2 linked regions of the Sus scrofa genome follow. The protein of the gene in region 1 purifies or fractionates together with the protein of each later gene. This does not show direct contact. Links are inferred from orthologs where the notes say so. Each region holds a gene or a part of one and is shown in the gene's direction. Other genes may lie near its edges. The genes, in order: MAEA and RMND5A.

Region 1 (15,242 bases):
GGATCCGAGCCACGTCTGCAACTACACCACAGCTCACAGCAACGCCAGATCCTTAACCCACTGAGCGAGGCCAGGGATTGAACCCGCAACCTCATGGTTCCTAGTCAGACTCGCTAACCACTGAGCCACGACGGGAACTCCATCCCAGCACCACTTTTTGAAAAGACATTTTTCCCCATTGAATGGTCTTGGCATGCTTGTCAAAAATCATCTCATCATCTCTGCGAGGGTTTGTTTCTGGGCTCTCTACTCTATTCCATCGGCCTGTATGTCTGTTCCTATGCCACCACCACACCGTTTTGATCACTGTGGATTTGTAATGAGCTTTGAGATCAGGAAAGCTGAGTCCTCTAGTTTCGTTCTTCTTTTTCAAGACTGTTTTGATGATTTGGGATCCCTTGAGATTCCATACGAATTTTAGGATGGGTTTTTCTATTTCCACAAAAAATGTCATTGGGATTTTATAGGGATTGAGTAGCATCTGTACTTCCTTGTGGGGACTATGGACATTTTCAAAATATTGTCTTCCAACGTATATTTATAATTGATTCACTTTGCGCTACACCTGAAACTAATACGACACTGTAAGTCAACTATGCTCCAATAAAATTTTCAAAACTATTGTCTTTCAGTCCATGAACTTGGAGTGTGTTTTCATTTATTTATGTCTGTAATTTTTCAGTAATATTTTGTAGTTTTCTTTGTACAAGTCAGTCTTTCAGCTCCTTGGTTACTTCCAAAGTATTTTATTCTTTTCAATGCTATTGCAAATATAATCAGTTTTGCCATTTTCTTTCCATATCATACGTTGTTCGTATATAGACATGCCGATAACTTTTGTGTGTTGGCTTTGTATCTGCTCCTTGGCTGGAATCCTATATTAGTTCTAACAGGTGTTTTGTTTTGCCGTGTGTGTGTGTGTGCGTGTGTGAGTGTGAGTGTGAGAGTATGTGTGTGTGTGAGTGTGTGAGTGACCTTTAGGGTTTTCTAATATAAGATCATGTCATCTGCAAACAGAGACAGTTTTACTTCTTCCTTCACAGTGTGGATGCCTTTTATTTCTTCTTGCCTAATCGTTCTGGCCAGAACTCCAGCAAGAGTGGATGCAGGGCCCCTTACCTTGTTCCTGGTCTTAGAGGAAAAGCTTTCATTTTCTCGCCGTTGAGTAGCCTATGCACTGGGAGTGGCTCACACATGGCTTTTATTATGCTGATGTAGATTTTTTTTTCCCCTACTTTTTTTTTTTACTTTTTAAATCATAAAATAATGTTTAATTTTTTTTCTGTATTAATTGAGATGATCCCGTGCTTTTTTCCCCTCACGCTGTTATGTGGTATATGACAGTGATTGTTTTTTCACGTGTTGAACCATCCTTGCATTGTAGGAATAAATCCCACTTGGTCATACTGTGTAATAAGCCTGTGAATATGCTGCTGAATTCCGCCTGCTAGTGTTTTCTGGAGAGTTTTTGCATCAGGGATCACAAAGGATATTGGTCCGTCGTTTTCCTGTAGTGTCTTTGTTTGGCTTTGGTTCAGGGCAATGCTGGCCTCAAAGAATGTGTTAGGAAGTGTTCCCCTATCCTCAATTTTTTGGAAACGTTTGAGAAGGAAAGCTATTCGTTCTCTTTAAGTGTTTGGTAGAATTCATCGGTGACGCCGTCAGGTCCAATGTCTTTGTCGAGAGATATTTATTATTATTACTGACTCGTTCTCCTTACTGGTTGGTCCTATTCAGATTTTCTATTTCCTCACGATCTAGTCCTGGTAGGTTTTGTATTTCCAGGAATTTGTCCATTTCATCTAAATTATCTAATTAGTTAGTGTACAGTTAGTTGTTCACAGCCCTCTCTTATAATCCTTTTCATTACTGTAGAATTAGTTTTAATATTTCCACTTTTGTTTCTGATGTTAGTAATTTGATTTGTCTCTTTTTTTCTTTGTCCACCTGCCTTCGATCAAATAAAACAAGCCTGCCTAAACCAAATAACCAAATTTTGGTTTTACCTATTTTCTCTATTGTTTTCCTATTCCCTGTTTCATTTATTTCTGCTCTAATCTTTTTTTTTCCTCCCCTCTGCTAGCTTTGGTCTATCTTGTTCTTCTTTCTCTACTTCCTTAAGTTGTAAAGTTAGGTTGTGTACTTGAGATCTTTCTTATTTTTTAATGTAAGTGTTGATGGCTATACATTTCCCCTGAATATCTCTTTCAGTGAGTCACTGGTTCTGGTAAGTTGCGTTCTCTTTTTTCTTCCTTTCTAATTGTTGTCTAATTTCCCTTTTGCTTTCTTCTGTGGTCCATTGGTTCTTGAATGTCCACAAACTCATGAATGTTCCAATGTTCCTTGTGTTTCGATTTCTAACATCATCCTGCTGCGGTTGGAGGGATTTCTTTTTCATGGTGTCTAGCTTTTTACATCCATTGAGACTTACTTTGTGGCGTCGCGTATGGTCGATCCTGGGAAATGTCGTAAGTGCACTTGGGAAGAACGTGCGTGCTGTTGGTGGTGGCGTGTTCTGTGCGTGTCTGTTAGACCGAACTGAGTTACTCTGTTTCCTTACTAACCTCCTGTCTGGCAGTTCTAGCTATTGTTGCGAGTGGGGTATTGAAGTTCCAGCCATTGTTAAAGAACTGCCCGTTTCTTCCTTTAATTCTATCAGTTTTTGCCTCATATATTTTGATGTTCCGTGTTAGGTGTGTAAAAGTTTGTATTGTCGGAGTTCCCGTCGTGGCGCAGTGGTTAACGAATCCGACTAGGAACCATGAGGTTGCGGGTTCGGTCCCTGCCCTTGCTCAGTGGGTTAACGATCCGGCATTGCCTGAGCTGTGGTGTAGGTTGCAGACACAGCTCGGATCCTGCGTTGCTGTGGCTCTGGCGTAGGCTGGTGGCTACAGCTCCGATTCAACCCCTAGCCTGGGAACCTCCATATGCCGCGGGAGCGGCCCAAGAAATAGCAACAACAACAACAACAACAAAAAGACAAAAGACAAAAAAAAAAAAGTTTGTATTTGTCACTAGTTCTTGCTGTATGGAAACTTTTATTAATACGTAATGTTCTTTTTTGGTTTAAAACCCATTTTCTTCCAATGTTCATATAGCCACCTCTTCTCTCATTTGACCATTATTTGCATGGAATATATTTTTCCATCCCTTCGGTTTCAATGTATTTGAGTTTTGGATTAAAAGTGGGTCTTGGAGTTCCCGTCATGGCTCAGTGGTTAACGAACCCGACCAGTGTCCATGAGAACTCGGGTTTGGTCCCTGACCTTGCTCAGTGGGTTAAGGATCCAGCATTGCCATGAGCTGTGGACCTGGCTTGGATCCCGGGTGGCTGTGACTGTGGCGTAGGCCAGTGCCTGCAGCTCTGACTCGACCCCTAGCCTAGGAACCTTCATATGCCTCGGGTGCGGCCCTAAAAAGACACAAGATAAAGTCAGCTCTTGCAGTATGGTTGGATCATGTGTTTTTATCCATTCTGCCAGTCTTTTTGTTTTGATTAGGAAATTTAATCCATTTACATGTAATTACTGTTAGGGTGGGACTCACATCTGTCATTGTTATATTTGTTTTCATTTCATTTCTTTCCTTTTTTTTTTTTTTTTAAATGGCCACATCTTCAAATCCCCGCTGGGAACTGAATCTGAGCTGCAGCTGCAACCACACCGCAGCTGTGTCGTTGCCAGATCCTTTAACCCACTGTGCTCTGCCAGGGATTGAACCTCTGCAGCAACCTGAGCTGCTGCAGTCACATTGTTAACACATTGGGCCATCCCAGGAACTCCAAACCTACTCTTTAGAGTAGCATCCTCTGAAGATCCAAATGCTAACCCCTAATGTTTCTAAGTTAACTGGAGCAAACCACTAGAGGAGATCCTGACTCTTGATCGGTGATACCTTCAAGGAAAGATCCTGATCAAAAGCGGAAAATGTGGAATGAATTAAGGAACTGTCAGTTAGGGCTGCAGTCAGGACAAGTCTGTAGGGGGCGCGCTGACACCCAACGCACATGTCAGTCACCCCAAACAGGAAGGGGCCTCTGCCACGTCTTTCACAGGAGGACACCTCTACCTACCGTCCAAGAGGAAGGAGAAAACTTCCCTTCCCCCCATCCGGAAACTCGGCCAATCAGAGGCTGCAGCAGCCCAACCAATCGGCAGCTTCCGGTCTTTGCTCGTCCCCCCAACCCCCACCAGCTCCTCCAACAGACCCCGTCGGTTATCCCGGCCCCGCTCAAAGACCCACTTTCCCTGTAACAGCAAGTTCCCACGCCTCGTTCTCTGGATTTGCTTGTGGTCTGCTGTTGTTGGTGTGTTCCAAGTCACAGCTCCCCTTCTTTCAGATGAATTCGCTTTTGGTGGTGGCGCAACTGGCTGTTACCGTATCACAATTGGCCAAAATTGGGTTAGCATGAAGCTGAACGTGCTGATTGCCTTGACGCACTCAGCTTTCACTCGTGTGGATATGATCTCTAGGAGGAACTTGTTTTGTTTAGCACGGGAAGCTTCTCATCCTTGCGTGATTGTTAGCACTAGGATTTTGCTAGAACGCTGCAGGGCATGGGGGCAAGGGCTGGTGGAGGTGGGGGTCCTAGGGTTCCCACTGCGACAGTGGCTTTCCTGTGTAGCCTTAGGGTTGTTGCTGTTTTTTAATGCTAAACTTAATCATTTAAAAAAATACCATTTCAGAAATGAGTGTGAAGTGTGGCATAATTTGAAAATCTTGGAGTTCCCGTTGTGGAGCAGTGGTTAGAGAATCCGACTAGGAACCAAGAGGTTGCGGGTTTGATCCCTGGCCTCGCTCGTGGGTTAAAGACCTGGCGTTGCCCTGAGCTGTGGTGTAGGTTGCAGACGCAGCTCGGATCCTGCGTTGCTGTGGCTCTGGCGTAGGCTGGCGGCTATAGCTCCAATTAGACCCCCTAGTCTGGGAATCTCCATTTGCCGTGGGAGCGGTCCTAGAAAAGGCAAAAAGACAGAAAGAAAAAAATCTTCTCCTAACTAGTGAAACCTAATTTCCTTTCTATTTTAAAGAGGAATAAAAGGGAATAAGAATGTCAAGTGGCAGCAAAAAGCCTACAGAATGATTTATTACTGGGGTGTTTAGAGATGATGCAGTAGATGGTTTTCTGCAAAAGCTTTTTCCAAAAACGTTTCACTCCCTACTCAGACGTGCTTCATTCCCAAATGCATATTTAGATTAGGTTCTTGTAGTGCTGATCTGCTGCTTTTTTAAAAAAATAAAATTCGAGGAGTTCCCTTCGTGGCTCAGCGGTTAACGAACCTGACTAGGATCCATGAAGATGCAGGTTCCACCCCGCCTTGCTCAGTGGGTTAAGGATCCAGCGTTGCTGTGGCTGGGGTGTAGGCCGGGAGCTGTAGCTCCGATTCGACCCCTAGCCTGGGAACCTCCATATGCCGCGAGTGCGGCTCTAAAATAGAAAAATAAAATAAAATTTGACTGAAGATGTTAAAAAACAAAACAAAACAATGCGAAGTGGTTGAAAACTAGAATCGCCGTGGATACCAGGGCCGCGGGCCAGGTGCGGGGAGAGCACAGGCCCTTGTTCCACTAGGGAGACGCTTTCCTAATCCGATTAAGCGCTCCACCTCTCCCCTCCAACGGGACCTGCGGCTCCGCGCCAGGCTCCAGCCGGACCTCTGCGCAAGGCGGCCAATGGAGCAGTGCTGACAGGCACCCTCGCCTTGCAGACCTTCTGGCACGACTCCCATGCACGGTCACAGCCTTGAGAGGTCATGGCTAGGAGGGCTCACCGCCTCCGGGGGGGCCGCCCCACGCGAGCCCAGACACCTCCACAGCCGCGCTCCTCGCCGGACCCCGGACCCCCACTTCTGAGGGTGCTCGGTGCGTAGACGGCGCTGGGACGCCGAGTCAAAGGGCCGGGGGAGAGCCATCCGGCCGAGACCTTCCCGCCCCGCCTGGAGTTCAAGAAGGGAACCCGCCCCGCCGGGCTTCCCGCCGATTGGCTGAACGAGAGAAAGGCCGGCGGTGATTGGGTGGGGAGGACGCCTCTCGGCTTGCACGCCGCGGCCCCGCCTTCTCCCTCTGCCACTCGACAGGGGGCGGACGCGATTGGTGCAGACGCGTCGGCCCGCCCCACCCCGCCCCGCGACGTCGCTACCCGGCGTGCCGCGCGCTTGGCTTCCCCTCCGCCCGCTAATGTTTTGGCCGATTCAAGATGGCGGTGCAGGAGTCCGCGGCTCAGCTCTCTATGACCCTGAAGGTGCAGGAGTACCCGACCCTCAAGGTGGGGTTTGCGGCCGAGGGGCGCCCGCACCTGGCGGGGGCCGCGGGCCGTGTGTGTGGGGGGGCGGGGGGCGGTGAGCTCGAGGGGAGAAGGGGACAGGGCGCGGCCTGGGGCGCCGGGCGGGGGCCGTGGTCTGAGGGGCCGGGCTCCTTGGGTCCGGGGCCCGGGAGCCTGCGGCCGGCGGGTGTGGCGTGTGGCCGTCCGTGCCCCTGTCTGCCCGCAGGGGCTTTGTGACAGTGCGGGGGGCGCGTCTGCCTGGCGCCCCGCTTCGCCTTCCAGAATGCGACTGTGGCCCCTTCTCCCCATCACGACGGCGAACACATCGGTGACAATTCTGGCCTTAGGCTGCCTGGTGACTTTGGAGGCTGGGGTCTCAGGGGCGTGGGGTCGCAGGCGCCCATCCAGGGTGCCCAACGCGACTGGCCGTTGGTGTCCAGCCGTCCTCCCGGAAGCTTATGTCAGAAGGTGTTGATGTATAGCTTCCAGACACGAATTAGGGGACCTGTAAGGAGAGACTTCACGACCCAATGGGAGCCCGTATACGGGGCGTCACCAAACCTGAAATACAGCCCTTGCCACTCGGTTGCCATATACGTGACCTTGGATGGTCACTTAGGCGAGTCCCTGACACTGGGATGAAATTGGTGTTCGAGGGCGGAGGCCAGTACTGGCTCCTTCCCTGGTTAGCAGAGGAATTCATGGTCATTGAATCCCAAGAAGCACCTGGGAATGATTCCAGACAAGATCGAGGTTGTAGCGTTCTCAGGGGACCTGTGGCTGAGCAGGGTGACTCAGTTCCTTTCCGGGGAGGGGGTGGCAGGTAGCTTCTCTCCTCCCCTGGGACCTCGGCATGCCCGTCCACCTCAGTGGTAGCAGGTGGGTGGGTGGTGGTTTCATACTCAGCTCCGCAAGACCCTGTCGCCCAGACCAGGATTCTCTGCTGCCTCAGGCGCCCAACTAGACGTCCTTGAGTGTCACTTGAGTTCCAGAGTTCCTCAGTAGTCTTCGATTAAAGTCGCCATGTAGACTCAGAGATAAAGAAATATTACAGTGTCATTGCAGGCGAGCCTGTCGGGTTAGAGTTCTACTTCTTTTTGAGAATGATTTTTAAAGCAGGATTTTTTGCAAGATAGCTTCATTTTCCCTCACAAATGATTAGAGCCTGTGTGATAACTTCTCTGTTCTCTCGACATGCATGTCACTGTCACTGCTGAGTTAACATTTTTTTCAGGAGCAATTCTCAGTGGATCGTGAGGAAGTTTCACTAGGGAACCAGGGAGCCTTGATTTAGAAGCATTTGTTAAAGCGGAATTAATTAAGCACAGAAGAGCTGTCGGCTGCGGAGCTGCGCTGGTCACAGCCTTGAGCCGGGTCCAGAGGCAGGCGTGGTAGGAGGGGCGTGCCGGGCAGAGGCCGGAGGAGAAGGGGCCGAGGGCCAGGTTCTGGAAGGTGTGGGTCGTGCTTCTCTGGGGCACAGGCCGCTCTCCCACGTGGCTGGGAAGGAGCGTGAACTGAGTTCCTGGCGAGCGAGCGCTCCTCAGAAGGCTGGGAGGCTCAGGCTGGCTCCCCACAGCCTGCACGAGCACTTCCCCCTTGTCTCCTGGGGAAGGGCGAAAGCGGAGCACGCTGACCCTCTCCCCGCCGAGCACCCGCCCCTGTGGTGGCCGGACTGGCTCAGGCCTCTCCTCCTGCGGACTTGAGGCAACAGCGGGATGTTCGGCAGCACCCCTGGCCTCGCCCCGCCCTCAGGGTGCTGGGCAGGCCGCCAGGATGCTCCTGCACAGCCAGCTGCCCTGGTGGAGGGGGAGCCGGCGGAGGGGGTGGCCCCGCAGAACCTCTGGTCAGGACCCTGCCATAGGGGGCTTGTTTTTTCTGCAGTGCGCCTGGTGCTCTGGCCTGGCTGCGGGTCTGCCCTGGAGTGCTGTCTGGTTCGGGTTGTAGGCCTCGTGGGAGGGGAAGGGGAAAGTTGGGTGCCTAACCCACCATTGTGAACTGGAGGCCCTGTTTTTTTTTTTTTTTTTTTTGACTTTTTTGCCATTTCTAGGGCTGCTTCTGTGGCATATGGAAGTTCCCAGGCTAGGGGTCTAATCGGAGCTGTAGCCCCCGGCCTACACCAGAGCCACAGCAACACGGGATCCAAGCCACATCTGCGACCACAGCTCACGGCAACGCCGGATCCTTAACCCACTGAGCGAGGCCAGGGATCAAACCCGCAAACTCATGGTTCCTAGTCGGATTCGTTAACCACTGAGCCACGACAGGAACTCCTGGAGGCCCTGTTTTAATTGCATTTTTTAAAGTTTTTCTCGTTGTAGAAGCAGTTGTGTTTATCTCCAAATTATTTTGCTGATCTTCCCATTAGTATCTTGGAGTTTTTACTTCTGTCTTTTCCTTCAGGTAGCAGCAGGAAAATAATATTTTAGAGCCCCTTTTTATCAGCACCTAAGCGGGGAGCCGTCTGCTCGGCGGGGAAGCAGGGCCCAGCATTGCTCCCTGGGACCTGCTCTGGACACCTGGAGCCTCATCTCGGCACCCCAGCCGGGGGTCCCCCACACCCGTGCCCCCGCTCCTGGGGCGGGCGGGGGAGTGTGCGGCTGCCCTGTCTGGGTCAGGAGGTGGGGTCTCCTGGTGCCTGGAGTTCTCTAGAGGAATGTTGACATCTTCTGCTTTTATGTGGTGGCATCTTGTTGCCCACATCCCGCTCGGCCGATTCAAATGATTCAAATCCCGGCTCTGTCCTCCTAGAAGCTTTGGGTGCCGGTGACACGCCCCCTTCCGCGTAGTTTCCAAACTCGGTTTTGGCTGGGCTCGGGATCGCGTGTTGGCGGCTTCGAGAACGCCAGGAAGCACGAAGCCGCCGGGCTTTGGAGGCGAGGATCAGGGTGTGCTGGGTCTGAGCGTTTCCTTCGGTTTCTGGCTTTCCCTCCGTCGGCCGCGGTCCTCTCTGCTCTGCAGACACGGGCCCCAGCCCCGGCCCCGCTCTCTGCCCGGTCAGCCGCCGGCTCCTGCGACCAGCCAGCCCTCAGGTGACAGCCCCCTCGGCCACCTGTTCCGTGTCTTGCCTCATGTCTGCCCACGATCGTCCTGCCATCTCTTCTTCGTCCATGCGGCCTGCGGGGGCTCCGGTCCTCCCGCCCGTCCCCCCATCCGCCAGCGGTGGGAGCGGGGAGGGTTGGGGGCCAGCTCCCTTTGCAGGGCCTCCCGGAAGGGCGGGCTGGCTTTTGTGCTTCAGCTCCGAGGCCCGAGCCAGGGGTGGCTGTGCTGGCTGCCAGGGGACCGTAAAGAGACAGCCTGGTGAGGGCCCCTTGCCGCGAGGGCCCTGAGCAGCATCAGGCTGAGTGGTCCCTTGGTGTTTTCTTTCCGGCCTTGGTCACAGTCTGACGCTGCTTCTGTTGGATGCCCCTTGGAATGCTCGTTCCTCGGCCAGGCCTGCCTTGGGGTTGCCTCCCTCCCGGGGCCCAGAGGGCGCCCATGGGCAGAGCAGGCCTCTCTTCTGTCTGGTGGGAAGCTCCTGAAGCATTGGCGTCGCACTTCTGCCTCCAGTTGCATCCTGGGCGTGGCGGCCTCCAGCACATGGAAGCTGGACTTGTCGTCTTGCCGGTCGCCTCCACAAACCCGCTCTCTGCCTTCCTGGCCTCAGTGGGGGACCGCTCTTCCATCCCAGGGGCTCAGGCTGGAACCTCGCAGCCAGCCTTGGGCCCTCTGCTTGCCCATCTGCCTCCAGAACGTGTTCAGAGCCCTACTGTCTCCCTGTGCCTCCCGCCCCGCCGTGGCCTGAGGCTGCCTGCCACTGGTCCCTGCCCTGCCCACGTCCAGGACAGCCACCGGTCGCCAGGCAGTGCCATCCTCTGTCCTAGCAGCCTCGTCCCTACCTGGGGGGAAGCCCAGGGTTGTTAGAGTGGCCTCTCAGGCCCATCGGCACTTGGCACGTCCCCCCCCCCGCCCCCAGGCACTTCACCACAGTGGCCTTCCTGCTGCTGCGGGAGGTGCCGGCACCGGACCCAGGATCTTTGCTCTGGTGTCTTTGTTCAGCATGCTTCGCCCACATGTCTGTCGGGCTTAGCCCCCCGCCCCACCTCTGCTCAGGTGTCACCTGCTTGGTGGGGTGGCCTTTGTTCACCTGGGGCCCCGGGCACCCTGTCCCCTCCTGCGGTCTTTCTCCTTGGCCGCTGTGCCGTCTCACCTGCTCCCTTTGCCGCTTTGTTTCTCACCACTGGGATTACACGCTGTGTGGAGGGAAGAGGAGAAATGACTCTTCAACGAACGAACGAACCTTGCCCTGTTATGTTGGCAATTCTGTCCAGAGAAGTAAGAATTGAAGCAGCAGGAAATGTGACGCTGAGAATGACGGCGACAAATGTTCATGTCCCGGAAACACGACCTGACTGCAGGAGGACGCAGTGGCCGAGGTCAGCACGGGCGCATCCCCGGTTTCGGCATCCCGGCGGCAGCGGGCAGCGCGCCTCCCGGGACCGGCGCGGGCGGAGGTGCGCCTGTGCCCTGGTCGCGCCGTGGGGCTGGCAGCTGAGTGCGGCTGGAGGTGTGGCGCGCGTCTGCCGTGCCAGTGACAGCTGGAGAGACACCCTCGGGCCTCCCTGCGCCCCGTCAGGCCTGGCGGGGCTCCCGGGAGGGCAGGACCAGGAGGCTGACGGCCGGCCCGCCGCTGAGTCCGGTGGGCGCTGCCGCCTCTGGCGTGTATCGTGTCTAAGAGGCCAGAGAGTCCATCACCCCCGTGTAACTATACGCTGGGCACCGGTGCCCGCCTGTGCTCGCCAGCCGTCCCGGGGCGGGAGGACGCGGTCCCGGCTCCCGTCAGGCTGGCGGCAGTGGCTGAGGCATCTGCCCGCACTGCCCTTTCTCAAGAGGACCTGTGGCCGGAAAGATTCCTGCGACGGCTGTAGATGAGAGGCCCCCGTCCCCCAGAGGACGCCTCCAGCTTTGTCCGCGCTGGGTGGAGGGAAGGGTCCAGCTCCTCAGTCCCCCGGAGGCGGACCCGGCCTGGTCGTTGTTTACGAAGCCTGTTTAGGAGTTCCCGTCGTGGCGCAGTGGTTAACGAATCCGACTAGGAACCATGAGGTTGCGGGTTCGGTCCCTGCCCTTGCCCAGTGGGTTAACGATCTGGCGTTGCCCTGAGCTGTGGTGTAGGTTGCAGACGCGGCTCGGATCCCACGTGGCTGTGGCTCTGGCGGAGGCCGGTGGCTACAGCTCCCATTCAACCCCTAGCCTGGGAACCTCCATATGCCGCGGGAGCGGCCCAAAGAAATAGCAAAAAGACAAAAAAAAAAAAAAAGCCTGTTTAAAAGAGGGGATTCGAAGCACTCCTGTCCTTGGTGCCCCAACCGCAGGTGCAGACTGTGCCTGGCGTTCACCCGGGGTAGCGTGGGGCCGCCGAGACCCGACCACGCGTGCTTCGAAACACGAGGCAGCTCCCCAGATGGGGTCGGATGTCTGCTGCCGCTCAGGGCTCGGCCCGACCCTTGAGGAGGTGCTGTTAGCTTCGCGGTAAACACTCAGAAACCTCCTTCGCGCTTTCTTAATTGTGAAAGATGAAAGGCCTTGTGCCTTTGGGGAAATCCTTCCTTCCCGTGCTGGTCAAAACGGCTGAGAACATGACGGTGACAAATGAGATTGCCTGCTTTGCCAGCAGACACTGGGAAAGTCCACAGCAGACATTGGAGGGGTTGGGGGGACACAGCCTAAGGCAGGTGACACAGTGGGGGAGGAGAGCGCAGGTGTCAAGACAGGTCTCAGCAAGGCGTGTCTGCCGTCTTCTCTTTCTGCTGTGAAAACTGGAAGGGTTGCTTTCCTGAGTCACTAAAGGGAAAGAGGTACTGGAGGAAATATAATTAGTATCAGCCAATTAAGTGGAGAAATCCTCCGATCTTAAAAGCTGTAGTGCCACAAATTAGTAGGGAAAAACTGAGTAGATTTTGATTAATACAAATAGAAATCTTTGGTGTAACCAGATAAAATAAAACTAGATTTTAGAAGCAAGTAACAAGTCTTTTTTTTTTTTTTTTGCTGTTTCTTTGGGCCGCTCCCGCGGCATATGGAGGTTCCCAGGCTAGGGGTCGAATCGGAGCTGTAGCCACCAGCCTACGCCAGAGCCACAGCAACGCGGGATCCGAGCCGCGTCTGCAACCTACACCACAGCTCAGGGCAATGCCGGATCGTTAACCCACTGAGCAAGGGCAGGGACCGAACCCGCAACCTCATGGTTCCTAGTCGGATTCGTTAACCACTGCGCCACGACGGGAACTCCGCAAGTAACAAGTCTTAAGAAAACATCTACCAAGGAGTTCCCTGGTGGCATAGCAGGCTAAGGATCTGGCACTGTCACTGCTGTGGCTTGGGTTCAGTCCCTGGCCCTGGCATGTTGTGGGCATGGCCAAAAAAAAATTATCAAATAGGGACCATACAGAGCTAGTTCAAACTGATGTGAAAGCGCCAGGACGTTTTGGGTTGAGTGTGGGGCAAAGGACTACAGACAGAATATATGAAAGGAAGAGCGTTGAGGTGAGGCGTAAAATCGCTCATTTGTTAAACGATGGCTGAATAGCCCATCCCACGTAGGGATGGCTTCCCCGGTGAAGTCTATGAAATGTTGAAAGAGGAGGTGGCACTGGCCCTTCGTGAACGACCCGCACATGGGGGAGGAAGAGACGTTTCCCACCTCGTCCTCTGCGGTCCGGTTCACCCTGACGGCAAAGCCAGACAGGCGATGCCGCAAGGAAACGACAGGCTGTAGGTGGGGGATCCGCAACAGCGTGTCAGCAGACCGAATCTGACAGCGCAGGAAAGGACTGTGCACCACGACGGAGTGGGGTCTGCCCCAGGAGCGCAGGGCTGGCTCCACACTGAAGATGGGCGTACGGCCGTACTGGCAGCATAAAGGACCAACGCCACGAGGTCGTCTCAGGAGTCACAGACAGAGGCACCTGACAGGACCCGTCACCCTTTGGTGACGGAAACACGCCGCAGGCTGGGAACAGAGGAAACTTCCTCGGCCTGCTGGAGAGCACCTCTGAGGCGGCCACAGCCAGCATCCTGCTTCGAGGCCGGGCGCCACAGCCTTGCCCTGAGGTCGGCAGAAAGGCAAGGAGGGCTGTCCCCGCTTCCGTTCGTCGGTGCCACAGATTCTCATCGGGGCAGTCAGGAGTCAGGCAAGAAAAAGAAATGACATTCAGATTCGAAAGGAAGAAGCAGGACTCCGTTTGCAGGTGAAATGATCTGTCTGCGGAAAATGCTAAGGATGGACGGCTGACGCCCGCAAGACCCCCGCCCCCGCCGGCGCCAGCGAACCCGATCCAGCGAGGCTGCAGGACGCACAGCCAGTATGTACTGAGATGACTGGTGTTTCCCGCCGTAGAGATGAATGGCGAGGACGGCAGTGGAGAAGAGTCTTCACAGTGACACCGTGGTGATTCAGACTTTAGGGAGGAGAAGAGGCTTGTGCTTCCGAGGATGCTGTTGGGAAAGTGAAAAGATTGCTAATGGGACAGAAAATACTTGCAAATCATTCCTGGGAAGGATCTAGTGTCCAGAATACACGAAGAACTCAAAATTCAGCAACGTAAAGACGCGCAACCCAGTTTACCAACGAGCAAGTGATCTGAATGACTCCTTCGCGGAAGAGTCGCAGGTGGCCAGGAAGCGCAGAAGCAGCTCGCCGTCCTCTGTCATTAGGCAGGTAGCGAAACCCCAGGGAGGCACCACCACGGAGAGACTGTGCAGAGGGTGGGCAGCAGCAGGCCTTGGGTAAGGGTGTGGGGAAGCCCAGACCCTGGCACACGCTGAGGGAGGCCAAGTGCAAACAGCCCACTCATGCTCCCAGAAGGGGACAGGGAGCTACCGGAGGAGCCCGTAGCTGTTCCCCTAGGTTCTTACCCAAGAGAGATGGAGACAGGTCCACACGGAACTGGATGGGGATCTTTAGAGCCTTACTCTTCAGCATCAGCCCCAGAGTCCATCACCTCGTGAACACACGTAGCACTCCCATAATGGACCACCGTCCCGCCGTGAAAAGGCACAGGGTTCATGCCACCTCGTAGGTGAAGCTTGGGCAAATGACACTGAGTAAAAAGAGCCAGTCACCAAAGGCCACGTTGTGTATGACTCTGTTTCTACAACATGTCCAGACTAAGGGAGTGCCAGTGGCTGGCGTGGGCAGGTCTTCTGCAGGCAGGGGTTCCTGCTTGGTTGATGAGAATGTGCTGGAAGAAGCTGCTGCTGGTGATAGTTGCACAACCTGGTGAGTGTCCTCAGAGACGCCAAGCTGCGGATGTTCATTCGAAGGGTGAGTTTGATGGTGTCTGAGTTACGTCGGAAATAGAAACTGTAAAATAAGAGATGTGGCTTTTGCTTTAGACAGTTCTTAAGTGATCTTTATTCTTTAAAATTGTCTTCAATCTTTTTGTTGTTGTCTTTTTATGGCCACACCCATATATGGAAGTTCCCAGGCTAGGGGTCGAATCGGAGCTGTAGCTGTCGGTCTGCAACACAGCGCACAGCAACGCCGGATCCTTAACCCACCGAGCGAGGCCAGGGATTGAACCCACATCCTCATGGTTGCTAATCGCGTTCGTTAACTGCTGAGCCACAGCAGGAACTCCTGTCTTTGTTCTTAAATTGTCTTCGGAGGAGCGAAGACAGTTGGTTTTGCGGGGATTGATTTGATGTCTTTCAGTCCGTTCTGTGACCCGCGGGAAGAGTGGGCCTGTTTCCAGACGGTGAAGATGGCCTCCTGTATCTCCATCTGGAAGTTCTGTGGTTTCAGCTTTTGTGTTTCGGTCTGTGGTCCATGTCGAAGCAGTTTGTGTAGATCATGTGAGGTGGGGGTGGAGGCTCGGCCTTGCCCCGGGGAGGACCCGGCCCCTCTGTGCGGGCCCCGTCCTTCCTGCCCTGCCATGGACAGCGCGTGGGCTCCCCTCCGGGGTGCCCCACCATCTCGACCTCTCCCTGCCTTCCTCAACCCGTGCCT
Region 2 (14,636 bases), on another chromosome or scaffold:
TTTTTCCGTCTTTTTGGGCTGCACCTGTGGCATATGGAGGTTCCCAGGCTAGGGGTGGAATTGGAGCTGTAGCCGCCAGCCTATGCCACAGCCATAGCAACACCAGATCTGGGCCACATCTGCAACCTACACCACAGCTCATGGCAGCACTGATCCTTAACCCACTGAGCGAGGCCAGGGATCGAACTTACGTTCTCATGGATATTAGTTGGGATTATTACCGCTGAGTCACAACAGGAACTCCAAGCAGTGCTTCTTACCACTTGCTTACAAATCTGACTTTTAACAGCTGGCTGATAGACTTCTGCTTTAGTGCTCACCTTTTTAACTGGTAGTCCCAGCTCAGGATTGGTTATTCCTATCATTTGTGCTGTTGAGGCCTGCGTCACTATGCTTTGGATCATTCAAAACTGCGTATTTCCCTCATTGGCACTGTTTGTACAAATCTTTTTATGATATGCTAAATGGTGTTTATATAGCTTTATCCTTCTGATAGTCTGAAAGCACCTTAAGGGTAAATACCTGAGTTTACTGTTTGTAACCTCAAAGCAAGTAGCACCAAGTCTCACACCAGTGAAAGTTTAAAGATAGCTGGTTTCCCTTCAGAATCTTGTGACTCACTTATAAACATGTCAGTTTAACAGGACTAGACTAGTCTTATGGCTGATGTTCGCTTCAGAGTGTAGCCTTGTGCAGTTCCAGATATGTCAGAATCCGTCTTGTCTTGGTGTAAAGCCTTATTAAATACATAATTATCATCTAACTTAATAATTTTTCACTGGCTAAAGAGTGTCTTTAAGTGTAGTTTGTTTCTTTACAAGTCTCGGCCTGGGAATTGATGATACCACCAACTTCCACAAGATGGCAGCCTAGGCCCTTTTTTTTTTTTTTTTTTTTTTTGGTATGTGTGAGGTTTCAAACCATTTTAACACACATGTCTGTGCTCTTAATTATTGTTAAAATCTTTTTTGCTTTTTTATAGATGGGCAGTATCAAACCGAGAAATGCTCATAGCCCAGAACAGCTCCTTGGAGTTTAAGCTACACAGACTGTACTTTATTAGCTTGTTAATGGGAGGCACTACAAATCAGCGAGAGGCATTACAATATGCTAAAAATTTTCAGCCATTTGCCCTAAATCATCAAAAAGGTGAGTTTGGAGTCAGATGTTTTTAATATTTGGAACAGGCCTATAGCCGCCACTGGAATTTAAGTTTATCTTAACTAGATCTACTGTATATTTGCTAATAAACAAACAATTGAAGTCCCTGCTTGTCCTCCTGCCCCCATGCTGCTGTTACTGTCACCACAGAGTGTCTGAAAGTGCAACAGGGTGACAGTAATTTAACCCCAAGTGTCAGGGTGGGAGCACCGGCTGGTTTAACAGCCAAAGATATGTGATGGCCCCGTTTATGACATAATTGTTACTCCTATAGATAAAGGTAATTATACTGTGCTGTGTGTATAAAAATAAAATAATTACAGGTTCAGTATTTAGTGCTTTCCTTTTCTTCTTCTTTTTCTCTCTGCTATTTCTTTAATAGAAACCAAGCTCAAGGACCAGAATTTTTTCTTTATGGCCGCACCCATGGCATATGGAAATTTCCTGGGCCAGGGGTTGAATCTGAGCTGCAGCTATGCAGGATCTTTTAACCCACTGCGCTGGGCCAGGGATCAAACCCACACCTTTGCGCTGACCTGAGCCACTGCCGTTAGATTCTTAACCCACTGTGCCACAGCAAGAACCCCTCCAGAATTTTTTTTTTTTTTTTTTTTTTTTGCCATTTCTAGGGCCGCTCCCGTGGCATATGGAGATTCCTAGGCTAGGGGTCAAATTGGAGCTGTAGCTGCCAGCCTACGCCAGAGCAACTCGGGATCTGAGCCGCATCTGCAACCTATACCACAGCTCACAGCAGCGTTGGATCCTTAACCCACTGAGCGAGGCCAGGGGTCGAACCCGCAACCTCATGGTTCCTAGTTGGATTCGTTAACCACGGAAGGAACTCCAAGAACCGCCCCCCCCCCCGAATTTCCAAAGGTGTTACTGAGAAGTAATTTTAGGCCATGTCAACTGGGGGAATTCTTGCCTTTTTCAGTGTATTACTCGAAGGTTGTATTTTAGGTGAACATTCACACCCCCAAATTGCTGCTGCTTTTGTTTAGACATTCAGGTTTTGATGGGAAGCCTCGTGTACCTGAGACAAGGGATTGAGAACTCACCGTATGTTCACCTGCTTGATGCAAACCAGTGGGCTGACATCTGTGACATCTTCACACGGGATGCCTGTGCCCTTCTGGGGCTCTCTGTGGAGTCCCCACTCAGCGTCAGGTATGGAGCTTGGCCCTGTCCGTTGTTGAAATATGCACCGCACTGGTCAGTTCTGCTTAATTTGTTGTCTAGTTCTTGATGTTTAAAGCTGGTAGAACATTTGTCTTTCCGAGGAAGAGTATAGTTGGTATTTCAAGAGATCGTCACAGTTGGTATTACAGAGCTTTAGAGCAGCAGCTATCAGTGTGGTCTCTGATCCTTCGAGGGTCTCTGAGAGCCTTTTCCTCTGTGCTCACGCTGTGGGTTAAACTGCTTCAGCCTCAGCAGATGGGGGCAGTGGTCCCAACCCCCACAGGAGCTTGCTGTATTCCTCACCCCCACACACTTGCAGATGTTTTAGTTTTACTCTGCCTTTGAATACACATCTTTTGAATACTCTGCCCAAATTGGAAGTTCAGATGAAGCCCTTAAGCTTCACGCCATTTCCTGAGGCAGCATGGCCACTGTCTTAAGAAAAGCGTCTGTATGATGTTTGAGTTATGAGCTAAAAAAATAGTTGCTTTTTTCCCTGGAACATAGGTTTCACTTGAAAAACCACTAAAAGACAGACTCTAGTTATTCACATTCAGGTTTTTGTCAGATGAGTAAAGTAATAAGCCTGTCACGTTGGGAAAGCAACTGGTGGTATCTTTTGCCATAGTAATACATTCAAGATTTTAAGCTAAAATAGACTTTGGGAAAATGTGGGCCCCCTACCTCTGTGAGCTGGGCAGCTTCCCAGTGCTTTAGAACATTTCTGATGAGATTGATGGTGGTAATAAGGAAATTGGATTTTATATTATGTAATGAAATGTGCTACCACTTGGGAAATCATTGTGATCTTAGAAGATCACGCATGGGTAAAAGGCTCATTCAGAGAACAAGACTGTTGGGTTTTAGTGGAGCAGGGTACAAAAATCCAATGGCAAGACTCAGATTCCACTTTGCACGTAACCTTTGAAAAACTGCTTCTTGTTGAGTTTTGGTGAGGCATTAAAGAACAATATCCACAGTTATCTGGAAAGGCGATTAAAACACTGCATATGTGTGTGAGGCTAGATTTTTGTCACTTACACGTCAGCCAAAAGATGACATTGCAGGGGGTTGAATGCAGAGGAAGGTGTAAGAATCCACCTGACTTCTGTTAAGGGAGACATTAGAAAGATTTGTGAAAATGTAAAACATTGCCACTCGTCTAATTTTGGTTTGGAAAAGAGACTTGTTTTTTGTGAGAATGTTATTTATGATAACATGATTTGATGATTTTTAAGTGCATTAATATTTTAAGGATTTCTCTGTTTTAATTTCTAGTACAATAAATAATGATAGATATAACCCACAAAAACAGATGCTCTTTGAGATCCTTATATTTAAGCCTTTAAAGAGGTCCTGAAATCAAAAAGTTTAAGAACCTATTTTAAGGAGTTCCCGTTGTAGCTCATTGGTTAACGAACCTGACTGGGATCCATGAGGATGTGGGTTCCATCCCGTCCACACTCAGTGGGTTAAGGATCCGGCCTTGCCATGAGCTGTGGTGTAGGTCGCAGACACAGCTCGGATCTGGCGTTGCTGTGGCTCTGGCATAGGCCAGCAGTAGTCATTGTGATTAGACTCCTAGTCTAGGAACTTCCATGTGCTTCAGTGCAGCCCTACAAGCAAAAAAACAAAACAAAAAAACCCCATTTTAAGAAGTAACTTTTCCAGTGTTCGTTTAATTCCTCAAGTGTTTTGAATCTCTGCTGCACCTTAGGCATTATGAAGGACAGAGAGGTGAATAAGGTGCAGCCCATCTGCACATGGAGACAGACAGGTGCCCTTAACTCTAACGAGCGCCAGGATTGCAGGTCAGGCAGAGGGACAGGTTGGACTATGATGAGTCATCGAAGGCCTTGGGCCACCCCAGGGAGCTCTGCAGCTGTGGTGGCCTCTGGAGTTGTGTCCTCGTGTGGAGCATTCATCGAACGTGACCCCAGTCAGGTCTCTGTCTTCAACTGAGGACAGTCCTACAGGGAGAGTTGACAGCCAGCACTTGCAGAGCTGAGCAGTGTGTGCTTCTGCTCTGGACAGAGGTGATCTGGGTGTGGAAAGAACTGGGCAAGAAAATGTGTCAGAGTAGCATGAATGTCAGGAAGGCCACTAATGACTGGTAAACAGAGCTTATTCAGTCTAGTGGTTTTGTAAACATGCATGTGTGCACATGGATGTGCTCTCGTTTAGCAAAACAGGGGGCTTTGTGATGCTCTGAGTCCAGCGACCAGGGCCCTCTACACGCAGCACGGAATCTGGAAGAATTGTCTTGTCCTGGGACCAACTTCCTGACGCCTGGCCTGGCATTAACATTTCCTCTCCTGTCCTCCCAGTTTCTCTGCAGGTTGTGTGGCGCTGCCAGCTTTAATTAATATCAAAGCTGTGATTGAACAGAGGCAGTGCACTGGAGTTTGGAACCAGAAAGATGAACTACCCGTGAGTTCCATTTCTATTGGTTATTACCTCTCCTGTCATTAGAAGAAAATAGATGTTAAGGATTTAAAATGTCTGTCTTGCCTTTTCCTCAGGGAGCATTATTGTAACCATACGGCAGGGATTCTTTTATGTCCATGTAGACATGATTAAACATGGAAGTGGGCAGCTAGGACATTCTGGAGGTACTGGAGTTTTCTTACCTTTCAGACTTAGAGTGGCAGGCATCAGAGGAAAGGAAACCTCGGAAGAGGAGAGTATTAGAAGAGAGGAGGGTGGTGTATACTGGAGCACGTGGTATATTCCACGGCACAATTGGTAAATCACACTTGTAACATTAATTTTTTAAAATCTAAAAGTGATGAGTCAACTTGATTGGATTTAGTTTGTCTTAGACATTGATATTTATGAGCTCATTGGTTTGTGCCAGTTTTATGTTTCTAATACCAATTAAAATAAGTATATAGCTGTCAAAGATCACCCCAGTGACACCTGCGGTCATCAGTGACCCCCAGTGCTGCGCATCCACTGTTGTAGAGGAACGGGCCATGGTTTTAAATATCTGCTCCAGTCACTTGCTAGCTCTAACTTGTCAAAGCAGTAGTTTGTCCATCTCTAAAATGGGGACCATCCTTCTGTTTATGGGGCTGTTAAATGCTAGAGATGATAGAGGTTTGCTTAGAATAATAATATGGGCCGTGTAGTAGGTCATCAAGTAGTAGTCATGACATGGAATAACAGAGGTCAGAGGTCATCATGTGTGTGTTTGCACTGGGCCTCTGACAGTTTAATGGGAATTACTGTTCTTGTTACAACTGTGTCTCCGACCCTGAAGGGCTAATTCGCGTTTGGCTTTTTGCTTTTTTCTACCACCCTGTGCGCAGCTTTGTCTGTAGTTACCTTGCCAGCTGGTAACTGTCGCGTTGCCCCAGCTTCTCAGAGATCTGTTATGATTAAAGGCGCAGGTGTGTTCCCAGTCCTGAGAGAGATCAGGACACAGGCAGTGCCCTGCGTGGCTGCTGCTCATGCAAGCGATGAACAGCACTCATAGAAAAGAGTCTGGGTGACAGTCTTTCATATTAATAGCCATCTTAGATTTAGAAGGAAAAATAATGAACTGACATCATGGAGCCTCTGTAACGTGCTAACCCTCTTTGCTAAGATGATTTCACAGCTTTTGTTTTGTTCACTGCAAAGAGAGGTGATAAAAGTGCGGTGGGCTCAGATGGATGGATTGTGACTTGTCCTGCTGAACTTTAGTTGAAAGCCCTTGTTTCAGGTGATTTCTCTGGACAGTTCCACAGAAAACATGGGAGACCCAGATCTGAGGCCCACAGAGCAGTAAACGATGTTTTGTCTGCCTTTAAAGGAATTATCACACTGAATTGCATCACCTTGCTAAGTGTGTCCTAAAAACAGTCGGGATATCTGGCGGATTTACTCTCCCACACATCCTGAGTTTTCTAGTGTGTGATTTCTAGGGCACTGCCTTGCTTTTGACTCTTGCTCTAAGACATCAGAATTTGGTTGTTATGGAGTGTTATTTCAGATAATTGTGAGGGTTAGTTTAGAATTATGAGCTACTACTTTGAATCCCTGAGACCATCCATCTAGTTTAGAAGAGTTTAAAAGTTACCTTCAGATAAGTAGGCTTAATGAATGTTCTTTGCTACAGAATGCATTATTAACCTGCAGATGGTTTTCTGAAATATAACTTGAGCTTTTTAACTCTTTTGAAAAAAATAACAGATTGAAGTGGACCTTGGTAAAAAGTGCTGGTATCACTCGATATTTGCCTGTCCTATTCTTCGTCAGCAAACAACAGATAACAATCCACCCATGAAATTGGTCTGTGGTCATATTATATCAAGAGATGCCCTGAATAAAATGTTTAATGGTAGCAAGTAAGTGTCTGACTTTTTAAATATGAGTTTAAAAGAATACTCTTTGGAACTTAGAAGATAAGTAATAAGGATAAATAAATGCAGCTAGAATTCAAAAATATATTTAACTATTCATTTAGCATAGTGGGCGGTACATCTTTTGTCAGTCTTAAATTTGTTCATGGATTTATTGATTAGATTTATAAGCATGGTCTTTAACTCTTAACTTTTTGGGTGAATGGTATATTGTCATCCCAGCCCCTCCCCTGCCACTTACACAGATGGTAACGTACTATATATACTCTTCTGAACTTTGCATTTGTCACTTAGTGACATATCTTTTTTTTTTTTTTGGTTTTTGTTTGTAACTTTGTGATACATCTTGAAGGTCCTCTTTGTGATATAGAAAGAGCCCCTGTTCTTTTTTAAAGCTGCAGAGTATTCTGCCATATGAAATACAATTTACATAGCCAGTTCCCTGATGATGAACATTTAATTTTTGTTAATGTAAAGTGAATTACCTTACCAATATGTGATTTATAAATTTGTAGAATTAGAATGACTACTTCATAGCGTATATACATTTATGATTTTTATACGTAAGGAACCCAACTTTTACAAAACAGTTTTAAAACCTTATTTGTAGGAGTTCTGTCACGGCTCTGCAGTATCGGACCTGACTAGCATTCAAGAGAATGGGGGTTCGATCCCTAGCCTCGCTCAGTGGGTTAAGGATCTGACGTTGCCCTGAGCTGTGGTGTAGGTCGACGATGCGGCTCAGATTGCACATTGCTGTGGCCGTGGCTGTGGTGTAGGCCAGCAGCTGCAGCTCTAATTTGACCCCTAGCCTGGGGAACTTCCATATGCTGTAGGTGTGGCTCTAAAAAAAGAGCTTTAACTCCCCCCGCCATTTCTACCTTAGACAGCGAGACAGTTTTACATTGGAGTTCATTTCACATCCCTTATGGTGAAGTCTTTATTTTGAGAGGAGGAACTGGCATGTACTAAAGCACCCAGGGGGTGCAGGGGGTGGGGTGCCTAGGCTCCAGGCTTGATCTTGGTTCAGACCATGCTGGTTCTGTGCGCCACTCCAGGGCATCGTGTGCCACGATGGGGCACAAAGGCTGCATGCCCTGTCGGCTTAGCAGCTGGTGTCACATTTACTGCATGGGTGTGGCTTGTGACACCGATGCATCTGAAAGTCTTTTCGAGATAGGTGCAAGCTAAGCCTTGGACAAGAAAAATTGGATTGAGTTTTGAAACCCCCAAAGCAATTTTCAGAACAGTTGTCTTTGTTTTGTTCACAAAATAATTTTCACTCATCCACTGAAAAAGAGCCTTTCAGTTTAGAGTTTTGCTTGGACAGTGTGTATTTGTGACCATTCAAACTTGGCTGTTACATTAAGGGAAAGCACACTTTTTACGCTTGAAGGAAAAAACAGACGTGTGTGTGTGTGTGTGTGTGTAATTGTTAAAGGTTTGCTATACCTAGATGAAAATTGAATGCTCGGTACTGATCCTGTTCCTTGATTCGATGTTTTCTTTCTTGTCTTTAGATTAAAATGTCCATATTGCCCAATGGAACAAAGTCCAGGAGATGCCAAACAGATATTTTTCTGAAGAAATAACTCTAGTTTGCAATTTGTAAGTGAAACTGAATCGAGGGCGCATTTCAGAAGAGAACGTTCCATTTAATGCAGCTAACCAAGGACTCCCATGTTTATATAAGCTAATGCTCCAGAAACTTTGCCAACATTTTAGTGTGTACACACGGAGGGGAGTGTGCTCCAGATAAATATTATCATAGGGCTTTATTATATTCTTGGTCTTCATTTCTGATCAAGTAAATACACCAGCAGTTGTCATTCAATGCAGGTTTTTGTACTTAATTATATGGTGATTTTTTTACTTTTTAAGAGCAGAAACAGAAATTGACCTCCCCGCCATGTGTTTAATATTTCTCCTGCTTTTACTTTTTGTCATTTTCTTGGTAACTGTAAGCCTTGAGGATGTTTGTGAAAGGTTTTATTTCCTGTTACGTATACATAATTAAATGAAAATTCTTCAGAAAAAAAGTTTGAAAAACTGAATTGTGGTTCTGAAACGAATTTGCCAGGTTTTTTTTTTTTTTGTTTTTGCGTTTGTTTTTTTGTTTGTTTGTTTGTTTTTGGCTTATGAAAGAAAGCTGTGATAGATTCTACATTTGCTTTCTGATGTTTTCCTTTGCTCCAGCTCTCGCCGAGAAGTCAGCAGACCTGCATCTGTGCTCTGCCTGTAGCCCCAGTGGGCTGCCCGTTAAAAAATTCCATCACAAATTTATTAGCAGGTCGGCGTGAGAAGGCTTCCACTAGAACAGAGTGGAAGCAGTACCGTTGTTTCTTTGCTTTTCTTGCCAAGAGGTGCTCGTTTTAAAAGTGTGTTCAATAAAACAAATTCCGAAGTTAGAATGTTCTTCAGTGGCTGTTTGCTCTCTTGGTCTTGGTGACCCCTCTTCTCTGAAATCTGCCTTCAGGACTTGGCTGTCTCCTGCATTTGTATATCACTACAGACACAGTGTTGTGTGTGCGCGTGTGTATATGTGCACCAGCATCAAACATTGTGTATCTGGAAGGGAAGAAGCATGTTCCAGTCCTAAGACGCAGTTTCCAGACTCATCGCTTTCAGTCCTTGAAGATAGAAGCTAGCGGATTTTCTGTAGTGCAGAATATGTTTATGCCCTTTTTGTATTTGAATAATATACTGTTCAATGCCTCTTTTCTGCAAAGTGTATCATCTCATTGACTGTGAATCTGTATATTACTCTAATGGATACAGATAATGGTCTTTTCTCTTGTGAGGTACCTTCATGTAATGCACTGTCCAAAAACAGCCATGTGTACGAGTCTTTCTCTGTATCACGAACTGCATGGAAAAAGACTCCTGTGGACATAATTCTGACTTAAACCCATGAAGTTACTTCAGTTTGAGAAGCCTGTCTTATGGAAATCACCAAATACTTTACTACTCGATTTCATCTGACATGGAACTGAATATCAAATCCAGGAACCTTCCATGAGAAAATGAAAAGAGAAGAGTACACTGAAGCAAAGAGAAATGGGACACTTGGCATTTCAAACTGCGGACTGACTTGGTTTGCCGGGCAGGGAGATAACAGACTTGGTGCTAAGTCATTTGGAAACCATCTGCTCTGATGGACAGGCCTGGATGGTGTAGCCCGAGATATTGACCTGGGAGAGCGGGCGTCTTTTGGTGAAGGAGGGGGGACTGTTTGGTGGCAGTGTGTGATCAGGCCTCTGCTGAGGTTCCCGTGTGCCATGGGGCTTAGCTAGGGGGTGATGGGCCCGGCTCAGAGTGCTCGCTCTGCCCCATCTCTGGCTTGGCTGCCCAGTGACTTCTGCCCCGTGATTCCCCTTTCCTGGTGGAATCCTCTCCCCACTAATTCAGTGAAGAAAAGCAGAGAAGCTCCTTGGACTCCAGAAGGAGAAGGTAGAAAATTCCAGGCAGCGCTCTGGTTGAGGATGTAAGACCGGTTTATTATATATTTTTTCCTTTGTATTAAAACCCAGAGTGTGATCTCCCCCCCACACACACACACCTTTTTTCTTTTTTTTTTTCATTAGGCCAGATTTAGTTTTAATCACAGCTTGTTCTTACCTTTCCACCTCAAACACCTACACAACATTTAGGCTTTGTGTAAGGTTCGAACAGTATAGACATTGCTCTAGACTGGTGGTAAATGTTTTTGGTGGCCAGACACTTCACATAGCTGGCTCAGGCCACCTTCAAGGACAGAAGCCTGAGAGAGCTCTGCTCTGTCCCTCTCCCGGTGTTGGGAATCCTGTTGACGGTTTTCTGTGCAGTTCATGAAACCTCAGAAAGAACATACTTTACCTGAAGCATTTGACTTTACAGCTTCCTGTGCCAGGTCTCTGTGGTCTCACTGGGCAAGGGTAGGGGTAGGGCCACCAATTTGAAACTCTACTGATGTGACAGTTAAACAGGCACATGTTATCTTGCGACCTTCTTTAAATGCATGGTGAATGTGAAGGAGACAGGTGGCTTTGAAGAGACCAGACCTTAACCAAAGATGCTGAAATTCAGCATGCTGTCCTTTCTACCCTAGAAATACCTTTGCCGGTGTTGGTAGGACCGCATCAGTGCTGAGGCTGCAGGTCTGCAGTGTGGAAGGAGGCGTTGTGCCACGCTCTGCCCTCTTGCAAAAGCTTGTGAGAGAGCAAAGATGTATACAGTCGTAACTGTATGTTGAAAACAGAATTTCAGAGTGGTTCCTTAAATTTCCAGTTAGGAAACCATGTCCACTTACCAGCTGTGGACAAAGGCCAAGGGACTGCGCTAAACCCATGAAACCGTATCAGATCCTTAGATTCTGACTTTTAGAGCATCTGTGCTTCCCAGTACAGTCTGAAGCACGGTGGCTAAGTTGTCTTTCAATCTTTCTTCTCCTTTCTGTGATTGTCACAGATGATGCCATTTCTGTTGTTTTAGTGGTGATTATTTGACATTTCTAATCCATAAATGAACGGGTATTGGTGCCTCTTAATTTTTAAAATTTTGAAGAAAAGAGCCACCTCATCTTCATAGGGTGTGTATTTTGTGAGTGTATGAGCATTTAATTGAAACTAAGAAAGTTATGAAGTCAATCTTTTGATTTTTTTTTTTTTTTCTGAAGCAGCTGATGTGTACAGAGACACTAAAACTCACACCACTTTATGTGGGGAACGAGGATCCTTTTTTCTCTCCAGGTAGTCCCGCGGGGTGTGCAGTTTAAGTTCAGTGTGTCTTATGCCGTGAGTTATTTCCGCCTCGGAGGCTTTAGCCTCTGGGACAGTAAATACTGCAGAAACCAAGAACTCTTGGTTTATCTGCACGAGACAAGCTGCTGGTAGACGTTAGCCCTCTGGTTTTCCAGCTCAACCTCTGATGAAGTAGATTGACCATCAGGCTGGTCAGTCTGCTTAGTCAGTGACTCAGGTTCTTTTCAGGGAAGGCCTGGAGGCATGTTTGGTTCATTTCATCGCCAGGACGTGTAAGGTGAAAACACAAACCAAATACCTTTCATTACTTAACTCTACGTACATGACCTTCGGTAACACTAGAAGGCTGTGGTCTTGAGGGGATGTGAGCACACTTGCGTGATACACGGAAGGGATGGTGCTTCATAAGCCTGTCCAGCTGTGGCAGGTTTGGTTTAGCACGGTGGTGTGTACCTTGGGAAAGTACAAGCTTCATGAACTGTTCTTATTAAACTATAATTGAATAGATACCAAAAATAGAATGACAGATGTATTTTAATAGCAGATGAGGCAGATTAGTTTTAGGGTGAGTTTTTCCCACTGTTGATTTTACGTCATGACACAGGGAGAGAAACAAGTTCATTTTCAAAACATTTTCCTCTGCAGTTTTAAACTGTAGTGAGTATCTGCTTCATTGACTTCCAAAGAGGCAGAAGCAGCTGGCATTGGCTTCGAGCACATGCTTTGTTTCATATTATGATTGATGACCTACATTCTTATTTTAACAGTCACTTACTATTCTCCAGCAAGGCAGATGGGGGGTTCACTAGGACGTAGTGCCTGATCTTTGGGGAAGGGGTGGGAGTGAATGTACTGGGGATGGGAGGGAAGCAGGAGAAGATAATGGCAGCGTGAGTGAGTGTGCATGGGTCTGAAATTCACCTTTAACCCCCACCTGTGTCTAGCAAGGAACAGGTCTTTAATGTATTTTGCTCAAGACTGCAGTGTGCATGTATTTTTTTTCCCCATCCATGTTTTCTAAACTTAAAAGAATTCATCAAATCATCTTGTTCAGATGGCTCAGGATTGTATTTCTTTTGCTTACCCTGTGCTCTTGGGTTCTATAGTATTTCTATAATTATGTAACAATAGTGTTGCACTGTAATCTATCATATAGAGCTATATGTATGGAAAATTTTGATCAGTTTTTTAAGAAATGTACCCTGTTTGCAAAGGCACAATAAAAGTTGCATCTTATAGACTATAGGCAATAAAGCTAACAATAAACCTTATTTAACACAAACCATATTCACATTCTCTGTTCATTTGATCTTGAGAAAAATCTAGCATATCCAGTAGTTTCAGGGATTTCATTTTAACTTAAAAGGTTCTGATGTATTTAATTTATAAATTTCAGACTGATATAATAGAGTTTTGGAAAACTATAAGAAATGCTTTGTTAATGTGTGTATTCCTATGTAAAACACATGGCTTCTCCTGTGTATATTTTTAAAAAATTAAAGAAATGCACATTTGAAAAGTGTTTTGTGAACCCGTCTGTATAAATGTGACAGGTGCCAGAGGTATGAGGGGAGGGAATGTGGAGGTAAGAGAACGTGGCTGTCTGCATTTGCCAAGGGTCTGCATGTAAAGAAGGTAAGAAAACATCTGTCACCATCTCATCCTGTTTCTGTGTCACCAGTAGGATGAGAAGCAGAGGTAGGTGGGCACCATCCCCAGATTCTAAGGGGGGGAGTTGGGTTAATGTTTACCGGTTCCTGCCCCTTATGCTCACCCTGAGGATGGCGGGGACTCTCTGACGAAGTGAGTAGTGTGTGACTGGGAGGGGGGGCCCCCGAGACAGCTCTGCCCAGGCTGCTGGTGCAGTGGGGTGTGTATACTCAGCCCTGCCAAGGAGGAACGGGGGATGGGTTGTCTTATTCCACACAAGCTAAGGTGGTAGAGACCAAGGATCCGTTTGTGCTGTTTTGGTATATTTTCAGAGAGATTCACTCTTACCGGAGGTTTTAGAATGTTTCCTACCCATGGGTCCTCACTGTGGGTCCCACCAGCCACATCTGGAGCCATTCGTCCAGGGGGTGTAGACGAGGCCTGGCATCACTGCTTATCCTTGCAGCATCTGGGATTCTCTCCAGAATCACAGCGTGGTCTCTAGCCAGCATCAGCATCACCTGAGAGCTTGTGAGAAATGCAGACTCTCAGGCCTCTGAAGCAACACCTACGTGCTCCTGAGAAAACTGGCTTCCCTCCCAAGGAGCCTCTTGGATGCTCCCTTATTTTATGAAGTACCTTCCCTCTTAAATGTGGCAGATAAGGATTTCTCGGGTACTGAACGGAATTTACCCCCAATGACTAAGTCCTGAGTCATCAAGAAAAGTTAAATTTAGTGTGCTTTGAACTCTGTTGGTGTACATTTTTTTTTTAATCGGTGTATTTCTTTAGGCATCCAGGTAATTGAGGTTTGTTACATTTGCAGAGTGGCAAGATGCATTTTCCACCCAAAATGGGAAAAGATAGAAAACACCAAAGAAGTAAAATAATGGAATTCTGTAATAGCAAAATAAAGACTGAAAATGCACCTTCAAATAAACCGCTTGATGCCCCTTGCCCCCTAGTAGAGACTTGATGGTAAACAACATCCCAACAAATAGAAACAGCGCTTCGCAGATGGCATGCTTTCCTTTTTTTCCCTGGTAACCAGTAAGAATATTACCCTTTATGCACATAAAGTATCTAATTCTGAAACAAGTTTTACAAAACCAATGCCTATGTGTTGTACTCTGATCCTGATACTTTCGATTATTTGGTTAATGCTCATCAAGACAGTTGGTTTTATGACTTGCTGATGAGTTGAGATGCACAGTTTAAAAACAGCTTGCATTGGAATTCCTATTGTGGCTCAGCAGTAACCAGCTGATTAGTATCCGCAAGGATTCGGGTTCTGTCCCTGGCCTCACTCAGTGGATTAAAGGATCTGGTGTTGCCCTGAGCTGCAGTGTAGTTCGCAGATGTGGCTCGGATTTGGCGTTGCTGAGGCTGTGGCTGTGGTGTAGGCCAGCAGCTGTAGCTCCGATCCAGCCCCTAGCCTGGGAATTCCATATGCCAAGGGTGCAGCCCTAAAAAGCAAAAAACAAAACAAAAACTGTTTGCATTAAGGGACAGTGATAGAATAATCCATTCACAAAGCTATATTGGAATTTCTGTCAATATA

The links.
Region 2: the proteins of MAEA (region 1) and RMND5A purify together in Homo sapiens (affinity purification with mass spectrometry; 5 studies listed by BioGRID and IntAct, counting the BioPlex papers as one, with this or other methods). This does not show direct contact. The link is inferred for Sus scrofa from reciprocal best matches to the Homo sapiens genes MAEA and RMND5A.

The regions. Positions count from the first base shown.
Region 1 is NC_010450.4:537,173-552,414, forward strand, and holds the start of MAEA (macrophage erythroblast attacher), read left to right. Parts: upstream 1-6,108; 5' UTR 6,109-6,193; coding exon 6,194-6,262; intron 6,263-10,250; exon of another isoform or gene 10,251-10,671; intron 10,672-15,242.
Region 2 is NC_010445.4:58,036,335-58,050,970, reverse strand, and holds the end of RMND5A (protein RMD5 homolog A), read left to right. Parts: intron 1-982; coding exon 983-1,149; intron 1,150-2,162; coding exon 2,163-2,328; intron 2,329-4,667; coding exon 4,668-4,770; intron 4,771-6,516; coding exon 6,517-6,671; intron 6,672-8,206; coding exon 8,207-8,270; 3' UTR 8,271-12,947; downstream 12,948-14,636.